Rattus norvegicus: one gene and its partners. The protein of the gene in region 1 interacts with the protein of each later gene in a pairwise test. Links are inferred from orthologs where the notes say so. Each region holds a gene or a part of one and is shown on either strand. Other genes may lie near its edges.

What was found. The genes of interacting proteins can lie anywhere in the genome.
Region 2: the proteins of Acy3 (region 1) and Pmm2 interact in binary tests that used the Homo sapiens proteins (3 or more experiments, as listed by UniProt). The two-hybrid records come from large-scale screens. The link is inferred for Rattus norvegicus from reciprocal best matches to the Homo sapiens genes ACY3 and PMM2.
Region 3: the proteins of Acy3 (region 1) and Plekhf2 interact in binary tests that used the Homo sapiens proteins (3 or more experiments, as listed by UniProt). The two-hybrid records come from large-scale screens. The link is inferred for Rattus norvegicus from reciprocal best matches to the Homo sapiens genes ACY3 and PLEKHF2.

Annotation. Positions count from the first base shown.
Region 1 is NC_086019.1:210,707,632-210,712,188, forward strand, and holds the start of Acy3 (N-acyl-aromatic-L-amino acid amidohydrolase (carboxylate-forming)), read left to right. Parts: upstream 1-1,705; 5' UTR 1,706-1,755; exon of another isoform or gene 1,756-2,033; 5' UTR 2,034-2,177; coding exon 2,178-2,413; intron 2,414-2,866; coding exon 2,867-3,062; intron 3,063-3,421; coding exon 3,422-3,515; intron 3,516-3,619; coding exon 3,620-3,727; intron 3,728-3,826; coding exon 3,827-3,936; intron 3,937-4,048; coding exon of another isoform or gene 4,049-4,084; exon of another isoform or gene 4,085-4,557. UniProt on the Homo sapiens protein: Plays an important role in deacetylating mercapturic acids in kidney proximal tubules. Also acts on N-acetyl-aromatic amino acids.
Region 2 is NC_086028.1:7,486,666-7,491,095, forward strand, and holds the start of Pmm2 (phosphomannomutase 2), read right to left. Parts: upstream 2,890-4,430; 5' UTR 2,826-2,889; coding exon 2,772-2,825; intron 50-2,771; exon of another isoform or gene 1-49. Other genes in the region: Tmem186 (transmembrane protein 186), read left to right, coding at 3,091-3,093, 4,362-4,430. UniProt on the Homo sapiens protein: Involved in the synthesis of the GDP-mannose and dolichol-phosphate-mannose required for a number of critical mannosyl transfer reactions.
Region 3 is NC_086023.1:28,900,835-28,905,583, forward strand, and holds the start of Plekhf2 (pleckstrin homology domain-containing family F member 2), read right to left. Parts: upstream 2,890-4,749; 5' UTR 2,658-2,889; exon of another isoform or gene 2,643-2,657; intron 1-2,642. UniProt on the Homo sapiens protein: May play a role in early endosome fusion upstream of RAB5, hence regulating receptor trafficking and fluid-phase transport. Enhances cellular sensitivity to TNF-induced apoptosis.

The DNA.
Region 1 (4,557 bases):
CCACTTCCATTCTACAAACCCATAGAAAAAGGAAAAGCTAGACCCAGCTGAGCAAATAAGGCATTTCCCACTGCAGCTTCCCCATAGTTGACCCTCCTGGAAGGAAGGGCCCTGAACCCTCCCCCCCTACCCCACATAAACAGCCGAGTTGTTAAGCAGTTCCTATTTTCAAGGCCCTGGAGAGTCAGCAGCACCCCAGCAGCTGGGGGGCCTTCAGACTGGACACCGGGACTTTGACTGGAGCAGAGCATGGCCCAGGAAGGAGATAGGGCACTCACCTACTCCAAGGCCCTGCCACCAGCAGGGAAGGGCTTGGTCAACAACCCCTGAGAACTGTTGACAAAAGGTTAGGTGACCTTATGAAGGTCTTTGTCCTCTCTCAGCTGAGGCCCCTATATTAAAGGAAGGGTGCCCAGGGCCACACTGCACCACTTCCAGTTCTCTGTAAGGCCAGCTGCCAGGCCTCATGAGAACAAAGGTGAACCACGGTGCTCCATTGTCCCCACACTGACAGTGCCATGGGGTGGGGGAGGGTAAAAGAGCAGACTCAGGCTACAGTGTGATCTAAGCGGCTTTGACAAGGTTACCTAGAGGGCCCCAGCCACCCAGAAACCCCGAACTGTAAGCTTGGTAAGCTTGGACCTACAGCAGGAACAATCTGGTTCCTCCATGACGTCAGGACATGCTGGGACACAGGGCGTGACCTCAGAGCCCACATGCAAACAGTCAGTGGTTTAACTGGATGGGTAAGTGGGCTGCATGGTTCACTGCCTTTTTCTTCACTGACCTCTGAACAGTGCTTGGCTTCTGCCAATGGATAGCTGAGCTCAGTAGGAGGGGCAGCTGTGGGTCAGGGGACCAGGACTTCCCCAGGACCCCACAGAGGCATCAGGGAGAGGAAAGGAACACACTCTGTCTTCCAGGTCCAACTGTCCCCTGTGTTCAGTATACCCTTAGCTACTCTGCCGAGCCTCAGTTTCCATGTCTGTAAACTGGGTCTGAGGGTTATTTCCCAAAGCAGAGCTAACAAAGCTGTTTCAGTTACAGCGTCCTTGAAGGCCATCACAAAGAGTGGACAAAACATTTTGCAGTTTTGTTTGAAGCATCAGTGAGCTATAAGATTTGAACTCCATAGGTCACAGCTTTAAAGAAGTAGGAGGTGGGCCATGTACTGCAAAGACAGTGGCAGGAAAGGAGGCTCCTTTCCCGGTGGTCCCCAAAGTACAGGGCTGCTGTGGCCAAAACCAAGCCACTGCCCACTGCCGTCTGCCTTCAGTAGCCTCAGGGAAAGCGCTTCTCTCCGAGGATCCTAACAGGACACCACGCAGGCCTTGTCTACCCATGTGGGACCAGGCACTGAACCACCGTATTTATTAGTCAGCAAAGCCAAGTCCTTTCTGAGAAGAAGGAGACATGGTTCCTGATCAGGAATCCCTGGGCAAGTGCGACTTCCAGCAGGAGTCCCCAGAGACCCTTGCAAGTAGAACTTTCCCTGTTCCCGGAGGACAAGGAGAGGGCAAGGCTAGGAACCAGCCCCAGAGACTTGGACCCATTAGGCTGAGGGGGAGTAGAGGCGGAGCTTAGGGAGTAGGGGCGTGTCCCTGGGTACTTTGACTGCCTGGCTCTCTGCCCAGCCACCGCCTCCAGTTCTCCGCCAACTTGGCACAAACATTTCCTTCCGGGGGCCTGCAGGCCAATAAATACAGTGGATGCATTGGGCCTGTGGCCTAGGGCAGCCCAGGCTCAAGCCAGCAGGTAAGAGGCCTCGCAGAGGCTCCGGGCCTGTTCAGAGGAGGGTGTAGAGGTGGCCTGGAACCTAGACACTACCATCTATAAAATAGTTCTGTGGTGATGGTGTGGGTGGGAACAGTCTACCTTCTGAATGTCTGAGTCCCCTTCTCAGCTTCGGTCCTGGGAAAGAAAAGTGGGGAGATCAACACCCATCCTCAAAGAACGTTCCTGAAGAGGGACTGAGGTTGCAAGGGGGACAAAAATTTGGCGACTGGCGTCTTAAACTTGGCTTCTGGGTACAGGTGGGTCATAACTGACATCACTAACCAGCTACCTTCACGAGCAGCCTCCTGCCTCAGACTCTTCAGGGCCTGAGAAGCTCACCTACTGTCCAAGCTTCTGGATACTAGGCTCCACGTCTCTTGTGTACTCCTTCCCACACTGAGATGTGCTCCCTGCCTGGGTCCCGGAAGCCCCTGCTCCGTGTGGCTGTGACTGGGGGCACCCATGGGAATGAGATGTGTGGTGTCTACCTGGCCCGGTACTGGTTACAGAACCCAGGGGAGCTGCAGAGACCCAGCTTCTCAGCCATGCCAGTTCTGGCCAACCCAGCAGCCACAGCTGCCTGTCGCCGTTACATAGACCGTGATCTCAACCGCACCTTCACACTCACCTTCCTTGGGTGAGTACCCTCAGCCAGGTTTGCTGGTCCACAGCCAAGTACTAGCATTCCTACAGACTGGCCTCTGTGGCTAGCAAGGCACCTCTGCCTTTTCTTAATGACCAAATGATTTAGAGAGGCCCAGACCCATGTCACCTCTTTCAGGAAATCTACCCTGACTGTAGGCTGGCTCTATCACTGAACCTTAGGCCAGACTCTTACCAGCTGGAGTGAGACACACATGGAGAATAGGACTAACATGTGAGCCTCAGGTTACTGGAGACACAGCAAAAGACTGGGGTGGAGGTGGGACTACATGAAGCATCTGGCCTGGCCAAGAGCAATCAGGGAAGGCTTCTTGTAGGAAGTGGCATCTAGCTACACCCCCCCTCCCCTGCCCAAAAGTGAGAAGTTAGCCAAGGAAAGGAAGACTGCAAAGATGTGGACTGATGTCCCCCATTCCTTTCCCCACAGTTCCACCGCTACCCCCGATGACCCATATGAAGTGAAAAGAGCCCAAGAGTTGAACCAGCTACTGGGTCCCAAAGGCACATGTCAGGCTTTCGACTTTATACTAGACCTGCACAACACCACAGCGAACACTGGGGCCTGTCTCATTTCTGAAGTCTCCCAGAACCCCTTCAACTTGCACCTGTGCCACTACCTACAGGTGGTCCATAGAGGGCAGGGAGGAGGGCAGGGAGGAGGGCAGGGAGGAGGGCAGGGAGGAGGGCAGGGAGGAGGGCAGGGAGGAGGGCAGGGAGGAGGGCAGGGAGGAGGGCAGGGAGGAGGGCAGGGAGGAGGGCAGGGAGGAGGGCAGGGAGGGGACAGAGAGATCAGTGCCACCTCTCTTCCCCGGGGCCTGCCACCTGAGGTACTTCAGACTCACTGTAACCTTCCAAACAAGGAAAAGAGGTGGGTCGGGGCAGGTGACCCTGTGCTTCCTGTCCACTGCTTTTCCCAGCGTCAGTGCCTCAGTTCCCCCTCTCAAGAAGGCCTGGGTCCTGACTGGTCCCTCTCACTCCACAGCTGCAGAACCCGGGGCTGCCCTGCCGCCTTTTCCAGTTTGAGCCACCTGGGACAGAGTCCTACAGTATGGATTCTGTGTCGAAAAATGGAATCTGTGAGCTGAGGGGTGGGGAGGAGAGCAGGGGGTGGAGCTAGAAAGGCTAGAAAAGACCCCTGGGCCTGGGGTGTCTGCCTGACATCTTCTTTCCTGATCCCCAGCTCTGGAGCTGGGCCCCCAGCCTCAGGGCGTGCTGCGGGCTGAACTGTTCTCCCAGATGAGAGCGATGGTGGCCTCCATTCTGGACTTCATCGAACTCTTCAACCAAGGTGAGACTGCCCAGTAGCTTTTAGGGAAACTGAGGTCTGAGGAAAGGGCTGGCTTCTGGAAACCAGAGGAACAAGTGGTCACACACAGCCTCCCCACAGGCATGGAATTCCCCGCCTTTGAGATGGAGGTCTACAAGAACTTGGGCAGCGTGGACTTCCCACGCACCACAGATGGTCACCTGACTGGCACTGTGCACTCTAGGCTGCAGGTCAGTGTGGCAAGGGTTGGGGGGTAAGGGTACCCTGAACACCAGACTGAGCCCCCAGTACCTTGGAATCCTGAGCTGGAAGTAAGCTGGCCCAATCCACACTTGCACCTAGAGCCTCGCCCTGGGTCTGGCATTTGGAGAAGCTTAAATCTTCACTGTGGGATGAGGGAGGCTGGTGGATACTGTCCTCCTTTAACTGGAGAAGCAGAAGGGAGGAGACAAGACCCAAGTCACCTGCTTCGACGTGCAAACGTTCTTTTTCCATGCCTGTGAGCTGACTGTCCGCATGGGGTCGCTGTTAAACAGGGTCTTGTGCAGTCTGGTAGCCTTTTTCTACAGCAGTCTTAGTAGTTTTAATCTTGTTCTTGACATCTGGGAGAGCATCCTAAGCCAGCCCTGCCCACATGCAAATGTTGCATAACATCAGCTATATTGGAGAATCTACCTTAAAAACTATAAACACGCTCTCTATTTTGTCTGAGAAGAGACTGTAAGTATACAAGAATGATTCTGGTGAGAGTATTTCTTGATGGCATCATAGCCATTTTAATTTGCACAGTATGCACCATGATGTTCTTGAAACAGCAAAATCACCCTCGTGACACATTTCTCAGAACTAAT
Region 2 (4,430 bases), on another chromosome or scaffold:
CAGTTTCCCTGTAGCTTATCTAGTACCTGGAGTGGCCTCCGTCCTGGCACTGGAAAAGGGAATGACAATTAGGACACTGAACAGTGCCCTGAAGTTCAGGACCTTGAACCACAGCTGCTGTAGGAGCGGAGGCGTCAGGGCTTTACTAGTTTCAATTTCCTTATGTTAGAATGGTGGTAGCTGGGTAGTATATGCCTTTATTCCCAGCATCTGAGAGGCAGAGGCAGGTGGATCTCCATGAGTTCGAGGCCAGCCTGGTCTTCAGAAATAATCCAAGGACAGGCAGGGCTACACTAAGAAACCCTGTCTTGAAAAACCAAAACCTACCCAAAGAAACAAACCAAACCTCTATGGTTCCTGGGCCAACTGAAGAGCAGTTTCTATAATAATTTTATTTTTATTATGTGTATGCATGTATGTGTGCCACAATGTACAAGGGGAGGTCAGAAGACAGCTTGTTGGAGGTGGTTCTCTCTTTCCATCATGTGGACTCCAGGAATTGAACTCAGGTCCTAAGGCTTAGGGGTGACCACATCTCAATGGCCTCTGTAATCAAGTTTTATTAGAACATAGTCACTCTTTATATATGGTCAATGGCTGCTTTTGCACTAAAGTTGAGTAGTTACTGCAGGCCATATGCAAAGACAAAAGTACTTAATATATGACCCTTGACAAAATACGAATTCTGATTCCCGGCTCTAGACTACTATTGGCTTTTAAGTTCTGAAGGTTTGTCTCAAACACTTTATATAGCCTAGGCTAGCCCTGAACTTTCAAATCTCCCTGAAGGGATTAAAACCCTATGCCACCTGCCCATGTAGCTACTGGCTTGACTCACCAGTGTGTGTTGGGCAATGAAGCTAAGTCAGGAAGGGCTCTGGAGAACTGGTAGTGGAATGTCATCACTGGACAGATCACACTGGCTCAGAAAAGTAGAATGAGGGACAGAAGAGGGTGGGTTGTGGTTCAACTACAACTAAGGATGCATTTAAAAGCTTTCTGAAAACCTACTACTTGGTAAAGTATGTATACATACAAATGTCTTCTACAGGACATGAATTATTTAAAAAACAACAACAAAGAACAAAAACGTTGGTTCCAGGTGTGGGGGGATATTGTTGACCAGAGAGAACTAGGACCCCAAAATAACACGGGCTATTGAAATTGCTCTTGGTCGCCCACCCTAACTAAATGGTAAATCCATATTGCTGGAGACACTGCACACTTCAGTTTCAAGACACAGAGACATCAGGCTGGAACTGGCATGTTTAGCTTTCATAGTGCTGGAAGGTGCTATGTAAAGCACGGTGGAAGGAAAGTCATTTGGGGCATTTCCCAGCCATGGGTCCTGCGAGACAGCACTGACTTGCTGGGCAATGTGTACTGGCTTGTGCAATGGTGGAATGACTGTTTTGGGGGTAGCAAAATCACTTCCTGGTTGAATATAAGGCCGATTCCACAGGAAGGAATTAATGCCTCGTACAGTACTTGGTCAAAAGTCTATGACTGTGGAGCTCATAGGCACTGTGGGGAAACCTATGGTTGTTGTTTTGTTAAATGGAAATCTTGTCAAATTGCCTTCTAAATATCTATGTTTATACCCATAATTAATGCTGCTCTCAACCCTGGTAAGAAAAGTTTCTCTTTGTAGTGGGCAGTGGTTAATGCAGACTCATACCTGGTCAAAGTGCTAAGAATAAGTAGTACCCTTTATCAACCCTGCCAAGGCTCGGGGGCAGAAAGAATGTATGAGTTAGAGGATGGAGAGAAGTGTGGTAAACGAAATGCTGTCTTCTGGACATTATGAATTCAGCAACCATGGTTCCCTGTACAAGATCAAGCCAGTTAACATTTCAGCATGGGTGATATGTTGCCTATCACTTGATGGATGGCTGTGTGTGTGTGTGTGTGTGGTGTGTGTGTGTGTGTGTGTGTAGCACTAACTGGACTTAGAGAGGTATTAAAATAAAAATTTTAAAAAGGACATGAAAACAGAAGAGGGTGTGTGGGTCAGTGTTCTCCATAGGGAGCACAGGAAGGTTGGGGGGGGGGTGAATACAATCGGATACACTGTACACATGTAATTGCAAAGGAATAAAAAAATTAAAAAAAAGATAGACTGACATATCTAAGGTTACACACACTACAGGGGCTTCTGGGACACAGTCCACGAAATCTAAAAGGGGTGGGGCAGAGGTGGCGACACCCAAGCTATTTGAGCCTACTCTCATTTGTATGATTTCTGTTCAATCATGCATTTGTGCATAGGAGGCAGAGAGAATGCCATCACCAGAACGAACCCACACAAACTTATCTTTGGCTATAACAAGTTCGGTTAGCGGAAGGAAGTCCCACCGGACTTTCTAATTAGTCTCTGTGATCCTCACCTAAGCATCACATTTAAAGGGGCTTCAAGGACTCCGCGAAAGACATTTGCTCAAGGTCAGACAGCTGAAAACCTGCCCTTGATATACTAGAAGAGACAGTCAGAGGTGACAGGGCTGGGGAGGTGACACAGCAGGTCAGAGGGTGGAGGCTGGAGTTCAATCCAGGACACCAGACCCGAGGAACCCTAGAAGAAATTCGGACCCGAACTTTTCGACTCTGAACACGTTTCCTACTCGGAAGGCTTTTCTGGCCCCCTCTTCCTGCGCATCCCACTCAGGACCCCGCTCAGGACCTAGGTCTACTGGTTCCCGGACAGTCCTTACGGCGGTCTGGGGCAGCAAGGGCTCTGCCCCACCACCAGGAGCTCCCCGGGCGCCGCCTACCTGCCGCGGGGCAGTCAAGGTCCCATCCATGTCAAAGAGACAGAGCGTGGCCATTTCTCCAGTCAGAAGACTCGTTGGCACCCGGAACTCCACCCGGAACTTCCGGGTCCGCTCCGAGCCCCGGAACTCCAAGGCACGATGGGAAGATTCTCTAATGGCTTACGGGACACTCGGGGCGGATACAAAATTTGAACTACAGTTCCCAAGCCGTAGTACTTTTTTTTTTTTTCCTTGAGTTAGCGCATTAACCTCCCGCGCATGAGCCCTTCAAGTTTCCGGGGACAAGGTCGGCGTACTTCCTGTAGCAGGCGACAGGCTCATGGTAGGAATGTCAGGTGGTGGGCGGTAAAGGAGGGACCGCACTTAGCGACCGGGTCCGGCCTACGACTGGCAGGAAGGATACCTGGGCTGCCCACTCGGGAAATCAGTCGGTGGAAGGCCAGAGTGTATTTTTACGTGCTATTTCTCTGCCTTGTTTCTTTCCCTTGGGTCACATGGACGGTCTTCATCGTCCCAGTGCGCACACCAAGTTCAGCGCTTAAGAACCATGTCTCGGGGTTGGGATTTAGCTCAATGGTAGAGCGCTTGCCTAGCAAGCTCAAGGCCCTGGGTTCGGTCCCCAGCTCCGAAAAAAAGAGAGAGAGAGAGAAAAAAAAAAAAGAACCATGTCTCCCTAGCGTATTCTGAGGTTTTCTTTGGAAAGATGAAGGATGCACAGTTAGTGTCCTCTTACTCTGAAGCCCAGAATTTGCTCACTCTTCTACTTATTCCAGACAGTCATTGTGCAGTGTGTTGAGGGCCTCCGTGCCTCACTTCTCTGCTTCCCAACCAGGCTAATTCATGCGAAGAAATTCTCTTGGCGTGTAAGGCAGTCAGAGGACTGCAAAGGTTCTGTGATAAGTACCCCATGGTTTTGTTGTGTGGGTTTCCGACACCGATTGATTTACCCTTTGAGGAAGGAAGGAAGTTTTAAGTGCACTGTTGGCCCATCTCTGTTGAATGGCTGGACGTACAGGTTTTCTATGTTTATTTGGACCTGCTCGGGGGAAAGGACCTGTCTGAGTGTCAGAGACTGCTTTTGTTTCCTTGCACTTGGGGCCAGGGCCAGGGGTGGGGAGGGCCTAGGGTTTTTTTGGTGTTGTTGGTTTTTTTGTTTTGTTTTGTTTTTTAATGCTTTTTTAAAATTTGTTTTAATCGTGTGTGTGTTTAGTTCGTGTGCATTTACTTGTGCTATGGCATGTAGGGGTCCAGGATGTCCTGCTTGAGTAATTTCTCTTCCTCCACCATGTTGGCTTCAGGGATCAAATTCACCCGGTTTGGTAGCAAGCCCCAGTTCTAGATGGGCTATCTCACTGGCTAGGATTAGGGTTTTGTTTTGTTTGCTTGCTTATTTAGTTGTAAAAAATGGGAGAATGGTACTTATCTAGAGTAGAATTCCACAAAAAATAAAGCTTCTGGCTTTATCACTTACTTTCCTCTGGCAGTCACGGTGTCTTGCCAGGGTTGGTTGAAGCCTTTCTGGGAGATGCTTTGCCTTGTTCATTGTGTGATTAGCCTGGATGATTTCTGAAAGGAACCTCTCTCTTCCAGGCTTTCCTCCTTCGAGCTGTGCCAAGGCTGCAGGGGCCCGCTGCATGGAGGAGGCCTCTACAGCAACTG
Region 3 (4,749 bases), on another chromosome or scaffold:
ACATTCAGACCTCACCTGAGCATCTGCTCCGCCCCAGCTTGCTGAAGAACAAGCAAACGGGACCCCACCCGATGCCTGCTGTCTAGGGCAGGCCATTATAGACCTATACAGTGCTTCTAGGACACCGAGGGGGAAGAGAACAGATTCCTGCTGAGAAAGAGGAAGCATGACTGCACAGTGGGCGGAAAGCTTCAAAGAAGACAGGTCTAAGGGTTGCTCTGGTTTTGGTTGGTTTTGAGACATGGTCTCACTATGAATCTCAATCACACTCTCAGCAATTCGGCCTCAGTGTGCTGACAGGCACGCTCCACTCACACCCCCGCGTTCCTCCGAAAGGGTTGAAGAAGAAGAAATTCAGCATCGTACCCTTGCACTAGGGCCTGTTAGCAGCAGGTTACAGTGAAACCTGAATGAGAAGGATAAGTGATAAAAAGAAGGAACAAGGGTTGGGGATTTAGCTCAGTGGTAGAGCGCTTGCCTAGCAAGCACAAGGCCCTGGGTTCGGTCCCCAGCTCCGAAAAAAAAAAAAAAAAGAAGGAACAAGGTAGGCAGAGAATGCCCACATAGGGATGTGCTATGTTCTGCTCTAGAGACAGAGGCCTACAGAGTCATCAGCTTGACTGCTAAGATCTGCAGTATCAGGCAAGTAACTTCTTTCTGATAAATAATTTTTTGGTCCAAAAAATAAATATATAGGAAATGGAACTGACCTGATAGGGAGCAAAATTCAAAGGAAAAAAATTTTTTTAAAAAACTAAGAAAGCTGGGGTTGGGGATTTAGCTCAGTGGTAGAGTGCTTGCCTAACAAGCACAAGACCCTGGGTTCGGTCCCCAGCTCTGAAAAAAAGAAAAGAAAAGAGAAGAAAAGAAAAGAAAAGAAAAGAAAAGCCTAAGAAAGCTGACCAACACACCTACGAAAGCACTTTTACCTACTAAAGACTAAGAAGAGGGGCAGGGAGACGGCTCCGAGGGTTACGGCACTGAGGCGAGGCCAGGCCTGACAGCCTCAGTTCTATCCTCAGGGGCAGAAGGTGGAAAGAGAGAAGCAACTCCCACCTTAGCTCTTTGACCTCCGCAGTTGAACCATGTGACCACACAAATGTCCACGTTTGCACACACACAATAAAGAGATATAATTAAAAGTAGAGGGGTCAGAAAGGCGGCTCAGAAAATAATGATAGCAGCTGGCCCCCAGGTCTGACAACCATCCCCACACTCACATGGTGGAGAGAAGAAACTCAGGGAATTTGTCTTCTGACCTCTCCATGTGAGGTCTGGGGCCGAGCGCCTCCCCTTTCTCCATGCAGATGAGTGATTTTAAAAAATTAAAGCGTAAAATAAGGGAAGCCTCTATGGCCTGTTTACTGCTTTTGCATTGTTAAGAGCCTTTTCCGCCCATTTAACAAAATTTTAAAGCCGTCTTTATTTTTTTAAGGGTATTTATTTACTAGGCTACTTCATGCTGTACACCAGTTTCGTTTGGGGGGCGGAGGGACGTGATTATAAGGAGCTTTCCAAATAAGCATCTTAATACCATTCACCTCCCAATGCTATCACGACCCACGGTGATTAAAAATAGCCTTTGTTAATTCTAAATTAACCTGAGCCCTCCCGTCCCTTAAGCTACCAGGGTAAACAGATAAGGGCTCAAAACTCATGCACTTTTAAGGAACCAAAAGGAAAAAGAAGAAAAAAATTGAAATGTCAAGATCGATCACTGCACCCTATTCTGTTTGTTGTGGTTGGCTGGTTTGGAGGGCTTGTTTCTATCAGGCTCACGCAGTAGCCAAGGCTGGTCTAGAACTCGCAGCGATGTTTCCGCAATATGGGCACGAGCCAACACTAGGCTATTTCACTTTAGTCTTAAGACAACACGTGCCTTAACGTTTCAACTGAACCTTCAACTCTAATGTTTCTTTAACGAGTCTCTTAGGCAACGTACTAAAGCATAACAAAGAAGGCATTTACCAATTTAATGCACTTGGGAGTCTGAATTACGGCTTAGGTGTATGTAACCTGAATTCTATTCATTTCCACTGCACACTCACACAACGTGCTGCTTTAATACTCTAGGAGTATACAAGGCTACTCCAGTACTTAGGGAACCAGCTCTCGGCCTTTAATAACATTAAAAAAAAAAAAAAAACTCGTCAAAAGATCATAAAACTTAAAAAAAAAAAACTCCAAATAGCGTGTAAGCCACTGCTCCCTATCAGAGCCAACTTGTGTGGTGCCATTTTCGTATAAAGTCGTATAAAAAACACCGCTGGGACACAGCGTGCCCCTGACGCCCAGACCCTGCCAAGTTTTCAGACCGCACGATCTGGGGACCTGAGTCCTGGCGCCCCACAACTTCGAGGGACGACGCGAGGTCCAAGTCCCCAGTCGCCGTTCCCGGTCCCGGCCCTCGGGGCGGCGTCCCGCGGACCGCCGCGGCGGGACGGAGGCGGTTCCAGCCCGAGCGCCTGCCCGGAGGGGAGCCGCCCGAGCGCCCCGTTTCCCACAGACCCCAACATGGCGTCGGCCGCCGCCGCCCGGGCCAACACCTCCCCGCGCCACGGCTGGCCCGGGCCCGCGGGGACAGGCGCCCGCAAAGTTTCGCTTCTCCCTCCCCAGCCCGCCGCCGCCCGGTGCGTCCCGACCTCCATGGTACCTACCCGCCCGGGTGCGGGCGGCGGCGCCAAGGGTGCGACTCCTCCTCCTCCTCGTCGCCGACTCGGGGCGCGGACTCTGCCTGCTCCTCGGCCCCAGCCTCGCAGGGTGCGTGGGGCCCCGCGAGGCCGGCGCGATTCGGACGCGGCGGGTGCACCGCTCGCAGGTGACTTCACCGCCCCTCCAGTCGAACCCGACAACGGCCGTCCGGGCTGGCTTCCCTCCTGCGCGCGCACTGGCGCGCCCCCGCCCAAGCGCCAAACACGGGCACGAGCACACCGGCCCTGCCCTTTCTTCCCGGTTCCCTCGCCCCGCCCATCGCCTTGCCCTGCCCCTCCATCCCCACGCGACCGCACGAGGGGCGGGGTCTTCAGCGGAGGCCACACCCACTGGGGGGCCTCCCCGGGGCCGGGTTGGGGAACGCGCTCTTCTGCACAGAGGTGACGCGCACAGAAACCGGCTGAGGCAATCCTGGGTCGCCAGACCTGACTTTCCTGACTCGGGCTAGCCTTCGGAAAGGGCTCTTAAGCAGTCCGCGAAGTTCTCTGGAAGAATGGGCGGAAGCTGCCTCCACGCCTCCCTAAGGAACAGGAAAGGCTTTGCATCTCGCCACCCAAACGCGTCTGCCAGCCCCGCCCGGCTCGGCCTTGCGCGGAGCACCTGCTGTCGCTTCTCCCGAGCCAGGGGTCTGCGCCCACCGCACTCTTGTCCCGCAGGCTTCTCTATAACCTCATGCCTAAGAGCTCTGCTCTTCTCAAAACTTCCCTGGCGCCTGGGCCTCGGCCAACTGCTTCGCGTACCTAGGACTCCGTGCTAAGATAACCGCTGGGTTAGATGAGCGTTTACTAGGCGCTGCGGAGAGCTAGCACAGGTATCTAGGCGAGTGGGGTGGCCAAAGCACACCATTTAAACAGGGGAGGGGTAGAAATTGAGTTAGAGTAAACTTTATTATTTCAGGGATTTTTTTTTTAACCTCTTGTTGAGCAGTTCTAAACCTGTGGATCACAGGGGTTCGCCTAAGGCCGTCGGAGAACAGATATTTACATTGTGATTCATAACAGCAAAATTATAGTTATGAAGTAGTAACACAAATAATTTTATGGTGGGGATCACCACAATACGAAGAGCTGTATTAAAGCATTAAGGTTGAGAGCCAGTTGTTGAATTAGTGGGTCCACCGACCTATTCTATCCACAAATGAAGGGGGGAGGTGATCCTGTTGGTTTTCCTCTTGCTCTTGTGCCTGGAATTCTTTAAGTTCTTCCCATCCTTCCCTATTTCGGTGTCTGTGTAACAAACATTGCCCTCCCTACCAAGACACTTATTTAGCTTTAAGTACAAAGATGCAACCAGACCGCCTACAACTCAAAGTCTCGGCTTTGCCACCAACTACGATACCCGTTTCCTTGGGGTAGTTACCCTTAGTTCTTTCGTGTGTAAAACTGGGATAATAAGAGTGCCTCAAGGAGTCATTAGATAATCAATATTTGTAACATGCCAAGCACAAGCTAAGTGCTATGTAAGAATGATGGAAAGTATTGAAACATGCATATTCTATGTGTACACCTATATGTCTACTACACTTTACCTCGTTATTAAATATTAAATAAGACATACCAAATAATGATGTAAATATATGGAGTATTACATTTTCTTCCTGCAGTCTGTGCATTCCTGTCTCTTCCTGGGGTGTGTGCGCCCCAGTTTGGAAGCCATTTATTTAGACTCATACTGGCAAAAGCCGCTACGCAGGTGTATTGATTAAAATTTAAATTTAAGATCTGGTTCCTGCCTGACGCTGATCACGTGACCACGAGACACTAGAGCTATAAAGCACTCCCACCATCTTGGAACGTTCTGTAACACAGCAAGCCAAAGTCACCTAAAGACAGTGGCCGTCCTGGTGCGGCCTGTCACTCCGGCAGCTGTTCAGACGGTAGGATCCGCCCCTCACCCTCATATCACAGCTGTAACATGAAGATTAAAGAAGATTAAAGAGACGGATGGGTGGAGGAAATAATAGTGTATGGAGTTTGGCAAAGGTCTAACACATAGAGAAGCTTTAAAAATAGCAGTGAATTTTGAGTCTTAATCAAC